Linked DNA regions of Danio rerio. The main gene of each other region encodes a partner of the protein of the gene in region 2 in a complex. Links are inferred from orthologs where the notes say so. Each region holds a gene or a part of one and is shown on either strand. Other genes may lie near its edges.

Evidence for each region.
Region 1: cc2d2a (region 2) and mks1 share a complex: the UniProt entries of both Homo sapiens proteins name them as parts of the tectonic-like complex. The link is inferred for Danio rerio from reciprocal best matches to the Homo sapiens genes CC2D2A and MKS1.

What each region holds. Positions count from the first base shown.
Region 1 is NC_133180.1:61,428,697-61,432,351, reverse strand, and holds part of mks1 (tectonic-like complex member MKS1), read left to right. Parts: intron 1-1,751; coding exon 1,752-1,885; intron 1,886-1,979; coding exon 1,980-2,062; intron 2,063-2,143; coding exon 2,144-2,241; intron 2,242-3,655. UniProt on the Homo sapiens protein: Component of the tectonic-like complex, a complex localized at the transition zone of primary cilia and acting as a barrier that prevents diffusion of transmembrane proteins between the cilia and plasma membranes.
Region 2 is NC_133198.1:2,297,250-2,301,614, reverse strand, and holds the start of cc2d2a (coiled-coil and C2 domain-containing protein 2A), read right to left. Parts: upstream 2,838-4,365; 5' UTR 2,782-2,837; exon of another isoform or gene 2,525-2,781; 5' UTR 2,436-2,524; coding exon 2,422-2,435; intron 2,307-2,421; coding exon 2,231-2,306; intron 1-2,230. UniProt on the Homo sapiens protein: Component of the tectonic-like complex, a complex localized at the transition zone of primary cilia and acting as a barrier that prevents diffusion of transmembrane proteins between the cilia and plasma membranes.

The sequences.
Region 1 (3,655 bases), on a different chromosome or scaffold from region 2:
TTATTCAGTACAGTTTTTTTCCTCAACACTAAGTTGGACAGATTTTTCTGAGAATTGTAATGTGCTATAACAATAATGTCCTAATTTGCAATTTGCATTTACAATTGTATGCAAAAGTTTGGGCACCCCTCTGTGGCTGCATAGTAATGTGCTCTTTCTTTATAAGAGAAGATCGGTTTCCATTTGGCTTCTAGAGAAAGCTACATGATGTCATGTTTTTCAGACAGAAATATGTAGTGTAGCAGTATTGAGACGCATGAAATTTAATTGAAACTGAAAAATAGACTATGCAAAAGTTAGGACACCCTCTCTTTTGTGCGAATTTTAAAACCTGAAGTCACTTAATGCTGATTGATTACAACACAAAATTGATTTGAGTGACAATCCTAATACAGATGCAGCCAATCATGAAAAAGGATATTTAAAATAGCTGATTGCTAGTTGTGCTTCTCCTTATTGGGAACTACAAAGAAGCAACATAGGAACCTCAAAAGAACTTCCTAATGACCTAAAAATTAAGACAATTCGACATGATTTAGGAGAAGTATGCAAAAAGCTATCAAAAAGTGTTAACGTCTCCACAGTCAGAAATATAGTAAGTAAATGGAAGGCCACAGGAACAGATCTTGTGAAGGAAAGATGGGGTAGGCCAAGAAAATTATCTCAAAGGCAAAGAATAGTTAGAACGGTCACAAACAAACCACAGATCACCTCCAAAGATTTCCAGGAATGTCTTACTGCTGCTAATGTCACTGTACATCGTTTCACGGTTCATCTCAGTCATTCACAGTCATATGAGGTATGCAAAGGCTCATCTAGACTGGCCTGAATCGTTTTGTATAAATATACAGTGGACAGATGCTACAATCATGGACGCTTGGCATGGTGGAAAAAAAAACACAGTATGCCAGGAGAAGAACCTGCTCCCTACGGTAAAATTGGTGGAGGGTCCATCATTCTGTGTGGATGTGTGGCAGGCACAGGTACTGGAAACCTTCTCGTTGAAGGTTGAAGTTGAAGGTGGCATGATTGCCACCCACTATCAGCAGATTTTTAAGAACAATGTTCAAGAATCAGTCAAGAAGCTAAAGTTACGGTAGGATTGGATGTTTCAGCAGGACAATAACCAGAAACACAGTTCCAGATCTACCAAGGAATTCATGCTCAGACGCGATGCAGTGTTCTATAATAGACTTCTCAGTTCCCAGACTTGAATATCATCGAAAATCTAGATTGATTTGAAAAAGGCTGTTCATGTTCGGCACCTATCAAACCTGGATGTTCTGGAGACATTTTACAAGGAAGAATGCCCCAAAATGCTTCCAGCAACACTTTAGGGACTTATCATTGGCTATAAGAAGCGTTTACAGGCTGTTTTTTCAGCCAAAGGTGGCTCTACAAAATATTAATTTCATTATTCTGTTGAAGTGCCCAAATTTTTTCATCTCTTTGTTTTTGTTATAATTTAAATTGCATTGCATTTGTTGATTAAATAAGTTTTATGTCAGATCTGAAATGTTGCTTTTATCCTAGAGTATAAAATCTATCCAAATTAAATGGCTAATGGGTTTTCCATGGAACTGTATCATTTATTCATTCAGTTTAATATTGTGGTTTATCAATTAATCATTACAAGGATGTGCTATTGTCACGTTTGGTTCCAGTTTTACAAATCTAAACTAAAGATCTAATTTGTAAAATAAAGAAAATGAATATCAGCTTGTTCAGTGGTGGCTTTATTGTGCTCTCAGGGCGTCATAGAATGACCTGCCGCACATGGAGAGCAGTCCAGCGTGGCACAGTGGCAGAACTGAGACGCTTCTTCATTGGTGGAGCTCCTGAACTCGAGGACATCAGTTACGTCAGAATACCTGGCACTTTTAAGGTCAATCATTATACATTTTCTGCTGTGAAATTTGTGTAATGGCATGTTTAGTAATTCAGTTAAACAATTGAATGTTCTAATCTACTGCCTTTAGGGAGAGAGATTGAGTCGCTTTGGCTTTCGCACTCAGACCACTGGAAGTGTGACCTTTACTCTTAATTGTATCCAGCATGCCAGGTCAGCCAACAGCATCAGCGAATCTTGCATGACTGTATTGTCTCTTTAAGATTGAATAAGAGCTTCTGGTACTATATTCAGGGCTTTTATTGATGCCAGCACACTGAAGAAGAGAAGACAGACTGTTCTGGATCAGTTGGGGGGCCACAGTCAGCAAGGCTCTGTCTATAATGTTTTGGGTAAGAAAGATCTAAATAACTTAAATTGGGGTCAATATTGCTTTCAAAGTTCCCACTAAATCAAAATTAACCATATGATTTTGTTAGCTCACATCTCTGCATGTCATTAAAAAAAAATTGCCCTTCTAATATTTGATTTGAAGTCTGTAAAAAAATTGTCAGATTACTTCTATTTTAGTAATTGAGTGTGGCTAACATATTTAACCCTGCTGCTCCAGTTGTCAGCTTTGACAACAAACAGAAATAGTAAGCAGGAGGAGTCTGTTGTAATAACTCTCCCCAAACCCTTTTCCCAATCTTTCTGAATAAAACACCTACTTTACTACATTCATTTAGCTCGCAGTAGAAAAAAAAGCCACACCCCTGTTACGTCATTTTTATATACTGTTTCTCTAGGGGTAACACTTTAGTATAACTATCCATTATAACTAGTTAACAGATCATTGTTAACTATTAGTTAATGGGTTATAAATGCCTTATTAAATAAAAGTTAATAGTTTGTTAATTGTTTATAACTGTGCCTTATAGATAGCCAATAGATATTTTACAAGCTGTTAGTTAACAAGTTATAAATGACTTGTTAAGTGTATTTTAATGATTTATAACTATACCTAATAAAATTGTATTAGATCATGAACAAGCTGTTAGTAAATCACTTACTAAAGACTTGTTAAGTATCAGTTAATAGTTTTTATTTGTTATTGGGTTGTTTTTCTTAAGTTGCAGCTCTTCTTCATTTATTAACTGTTAGTAAATGAGGAATAGTTGCAACTTTAGAATAACTTCCCAATAACATACCTAAGCTAATAACTAACACTTAACCAATATATTAACTCTCACTTTACAGATCAGTTGTTCATAATTTAACCATCTACAAATACCATTGACAGCAAATGGATGGAACAAGTTGAAGCTACAGAAATTTCATGTGATGTTTAAAATATAACATTTTTGTACCGTAACCTTGTTCCGCTCATAGGCTTTTCTGTGTGCTGTAATTTACCAAAGAAACTCCACAGATGAAATGTTGAACATTGTGTTTAATGTATAGAAACACACATACTGAGCCATCACATGGCATAACAACAGTATAGAACAGAATACAAACCCATAAGGTTTGGGCACTTTTTGTGCTAAACATGAAAACAAAATAAATAAATAAATATTTTATTAGAAAAGTTTGACAGAAGTTTCACTGTTGTTATTAGATGGTAAAGAATCTCAACAATTGATCTGAAGAGTGAGATTTATTATATTAGTTAAGTGTTAGTTATTAGCTTAAGTATGTTATTGGGACGTTATTCTAATGTTGCAACTATTCCTCATTTACTAACAGTTAATAAATAAAGAATAGCTGCAACTTTAGAATAATGTCTCAATAACATATACAAACTATTAACTGATACCTAACAAG
Region 2 (4,365 bases):
TCAAATACAATTATTAAAGCACTTCATGGGACCTTTACAAGAGGGGAAATGCACGTTTTAAAGATTACACTATGTCCATTTAAAGGAACAGTTCACCCGAAAATGAACATTTCCTCTTCCTTTACACACAGTCAAGACATTACAAACTTTTATGAGTTTCTTTCTTCTGTTGTACACAAAAGAAGATATTCAAAAGAATGATGGGGGAATAGCAGCCAATGACATCCATAGTAGAAATAAAACATATACAATAGAGGTTAATGGCTGTTGATTCTTCAGTATATCAACAGAAGAAACTTATACAGGTTTCAAACAAGTAAAGGAAGAGAAAATGTCATTTTTTTGTGTTAACTGTACCTTCAAAATAGTTTTTTTTATTTACTTTTTCTACTGAAACAATGACATTAGTACATTTTAACTATGACATACAGAAGACAGCACTAGTCATTGAGAGTAACAACAATTTACACTGCATGAAATCTTGTCAGGCATGTTCAGAAAATGACTCACTTTATGGCATATTAAATAACTATATAAGAATACAGTTCGACCCCAAACTTAAACCTTTAACTATACTTTGCCACTATCCTTTAGAACCACTAAGTTAGGTTCAACCCATTTGTCTGGTTTATTATAGTTTAAAAGTGTTTACTTCAACTTTACAACTTGACACCTAAACGTTATTGTCAATAACTGTGCATTATAGACTCACCGGACACTTTATTAGGTACACCTGTCCAACTGCTCGTTAATGCAAATTTCTAATTAGCCAATCACAAGGCAGCAACTCAATGCATTTAGGCACGTAGACATGGTCAAGACGATCTGCTGCAGTTCAAAGTGAGCATCAGAATGAGGAAGAAAGGGGATTAAAGTGACTGAACGAGGCATGGTTTTGGTGCCAGATGGTCTGATCTGAGTATTTCAGAAACTGCTCATATACTGGGATTTTCACGCACAACCATCTCTAGGGTTTACAGAAAACGGTCCGACAAAGAGGAAATATCCAGTGAGCGGCAGTTCTGTGGGCGCAAATGCCTTGTTGATGCCAGAGGTCAGAGGAGAATGGCCAGACTGGTTCCAGCTGATAGAAAGGCAGCAGTAACTCAAATAAGCACTCATTACAACCGAGCTCTGCAGAAGAGCATCTCTGAACACACAAAATGTCCAACCTTGAGGCGGATGGGCTACAGCAGCAGAAGACCACACCGGGTGCCGCTCCTGTCAGCTAAGAACAGGAAACTGAGGCTACAATTCACACAGACTCACCAAACTGGACAATAGAAGATTGGAGAAACGTTGCCTGCTCTGATGAGTCTCCATTTCTGCTGACACATTTGGATGCATAGAGATAAAGTTGGTTTTATATTCTCACATTCATTAATTAAACAGTCTCTATATTGTTTACCATGTTTCTTTGAATATTCAATCGGAAGTAGCATGCAAGTATACTTCTAAACAACATTAACACTATCTAATTCACTGTGAACAATGTTGTACTTTGAAAGTCATTGGCTGCCAATATGATTTCCCTATTCAGAATTTGCAAAGAATACTTTTTTGAAATTATATTATTAAGGAGAATGTCTGAATATAAAACCATCTTTACCTCTATTTTGGATGGTCCGGTCAGAATTTGGCATCAACAACATGAAAGCATGGATCCATCCTGCCTTGTATCAACAGTTCAGGCTGGTAGTGGTGGTGTAATGGTGTGGAGGAGATTTTCTTGGCACACTTTGGGCCCATTAGTACCAATTGAGCATCATGTCAACGCCACAGCCGACCTGAGTATAGTTGCTGAACATGTCCATCCCTTTATGAGCACAGTGTCTCCATCTTCTGGATAACACACCATGTCATAAAGCGTGAATCATCTCAGACTGGTGTCTTGAACATGACAATGAGTTCACTTTACTCAAATGGCCTCCACAGTCACCAGAACTCAATCCAATAGAGCACCTTTGGGATGTGGTGGAACGGCAGATTGGCATCATGGATGTGCAGCCGACAAATCTGCAGCAACTGCGTGATGCTATCATGTCAACATGGAGCAAAATCTCTGAGGAATATTTGCAGTGCCACGAATATTTGTTGAATCTCTGCCACGAAGGATTAAAGCAGTTCTGAAGGCAACAGGGGTCCAACCCGATACTAGTAAGGTGTACCTAATGAAGTGGCCGGTGAGTGTAAGTATATTTAACATAGAAATACCGCACTCTGTTGTTACCTGTTTATCATCCCTGACTTTTCCTAAAGACTCCTGCAGTTCTCTCCTCTTCTTCTTTATTTTCTCTCGTACATCACTGAGGACAACAGGACAACTTAAACTTAGAAACAGCCGTAAAACAGAATTGCTCTAAGCTTATACTCAAGTTAACGTATAGTAAAAAATAAAAACAGATTAATGTTAACAGTTACCCTGGCGATGACATTGTGCTCTAACGTTATGCATTAAACGTTACTGACGTCAGAAATCTTCCCAATACATCTCAGATCTTCAGTGTGGACCTCACAGCAGCTCCTGGATGACACGGTTCGTTAATAAAACATTCATAATGGAGGGATAAACTGCATAGCATTAGTTGAGTAAAGTTAAAGTTAGCAACAGCCTTTTATAAAGTAACGTTAGCCGAAATCTCTTATTAACAGCAGACTGTAGTCGCTCGAGGCAGGAAATAAACATTATTCTGCTCAAAAGACAAAAGAGAAACTTTCCAGATTATAGAATTATTCCACTGAAATAGTTAGTAAATGTAATAAATCTGTATTTAGCTTTACCGTCGTGCGCCGTCTCGCTGCCTGGTAACGGGTGTAAATAATCTACAACCGAACATACGGTTTGCGTCCGGATCATCCCTTTCACGTCAGCGTTTGTTCTCATTGGCCCACAGGCCCGTCAATCACCCAAATCTGGATACGTCACGCGGCAGCTCGAGCTCAATCCTGCATGAATATAAAAAAATATTAATATTAATTGTTCATTTTGTGGGCAGCACCCTGAGTCCCTGGTTCACTTATTTTGGCAATGCAATTACTCTAGGTTGCTTTGGAAAGACTTCTTACTTTTTATAATTGAGAATGTTGATGAGGAATTTTCCTTGCTGTGGGAGAATGTTTTGTTTGGTTTTGTTGATTATGGAACGGGGGCTTTACATAAAAAGAAAACATATTTTCTTAATCTTCTTGTCTTGTTAACAAAATTTTATATCCATAAATGTAAATTTTCAAACCAAAAACCTTTTTTTAATATTTTGCTTACTGAAATGCAGTATTACTTTGAAACAGTGTCTAACTCTTTCTCAAAAAAGGCTTTAAAAATAACTGAAATTTGTAAATTATATAATATTTTTCTTTAACGTGTAATGTATTTACCCCTCCTGTTTTTTTTTTTTTGTTTGTTTGTTTATTTTTTTGTTATCTGTAGTTATTTCTTTTTCCAAAAATGTTGTTCTTTTTGTCTCTTCAATTTCTTGTTAACATCCTGTGATTGTATATTCTCATTTTCGTATATTAAAAAAAAAAAAAAAAAAAAAAAAAAAGCATGAGACGCGGGCAAATTCTCCATAGAATTTATCCTGCTAAACATGTTTTGGAAAGAATGAAGCTTAATCTTTCATATATGTGTGCATTTTGTGTTCAAGAAAAAGAAACAATTTTGCATCTTTTTTTATCCATAAAAAATTACAAAGATAGAATATACTTAAAATACTGTGTCATACTCTTTTACTCACATAGCCTACTAAAACCCTCATAAGAACTATAAAACATGAAGTCATTGGTTGTTACAAACAAATTGGACAAAAAAACATTTGCTGTATTTTTAGAAACACTGAGCAGAAAAACAACGGAGATCTGCAGTAAAGCTGTTGAGTTTTTATTTATTTATCTTATTTTTATTTTTTTCTAAAGATTGCAAAATGACCTGATGTGGTGAGTATATATTTCCATGTTCTGTGATGTGTGTTATTTGATCCTCTTCAGATGGTTTTAATCATAATTCAGAAAAGGGTGTTTTCTGCCTTCTGAGCTTTGGCTTTCATGTATTTTTTCTCAACTCCAAAAACACTCCATTATACTCTTATTCATGTGAAGAAAACGCAGAAAAACACTACATTGATGTGCTGTAAAATACAGTAAAAACTGTACATTAAGGTATTTAAATATTTCTTGACAAAATCATCTTTCCATAAAGATAGGGAAAAGAGCTTTCAAATCAACCATGCAACACATGTCAGATTTTTCTTCATAATAATCTTTTACGAGCACTTTTTGACAAATCTTTTGTTCCGCTTCGGGTCTCAGAACAGTCCAGATGGCTTTTCTCTGACCACAGAACAACTCTCCCATGACAAACTGAGTTCA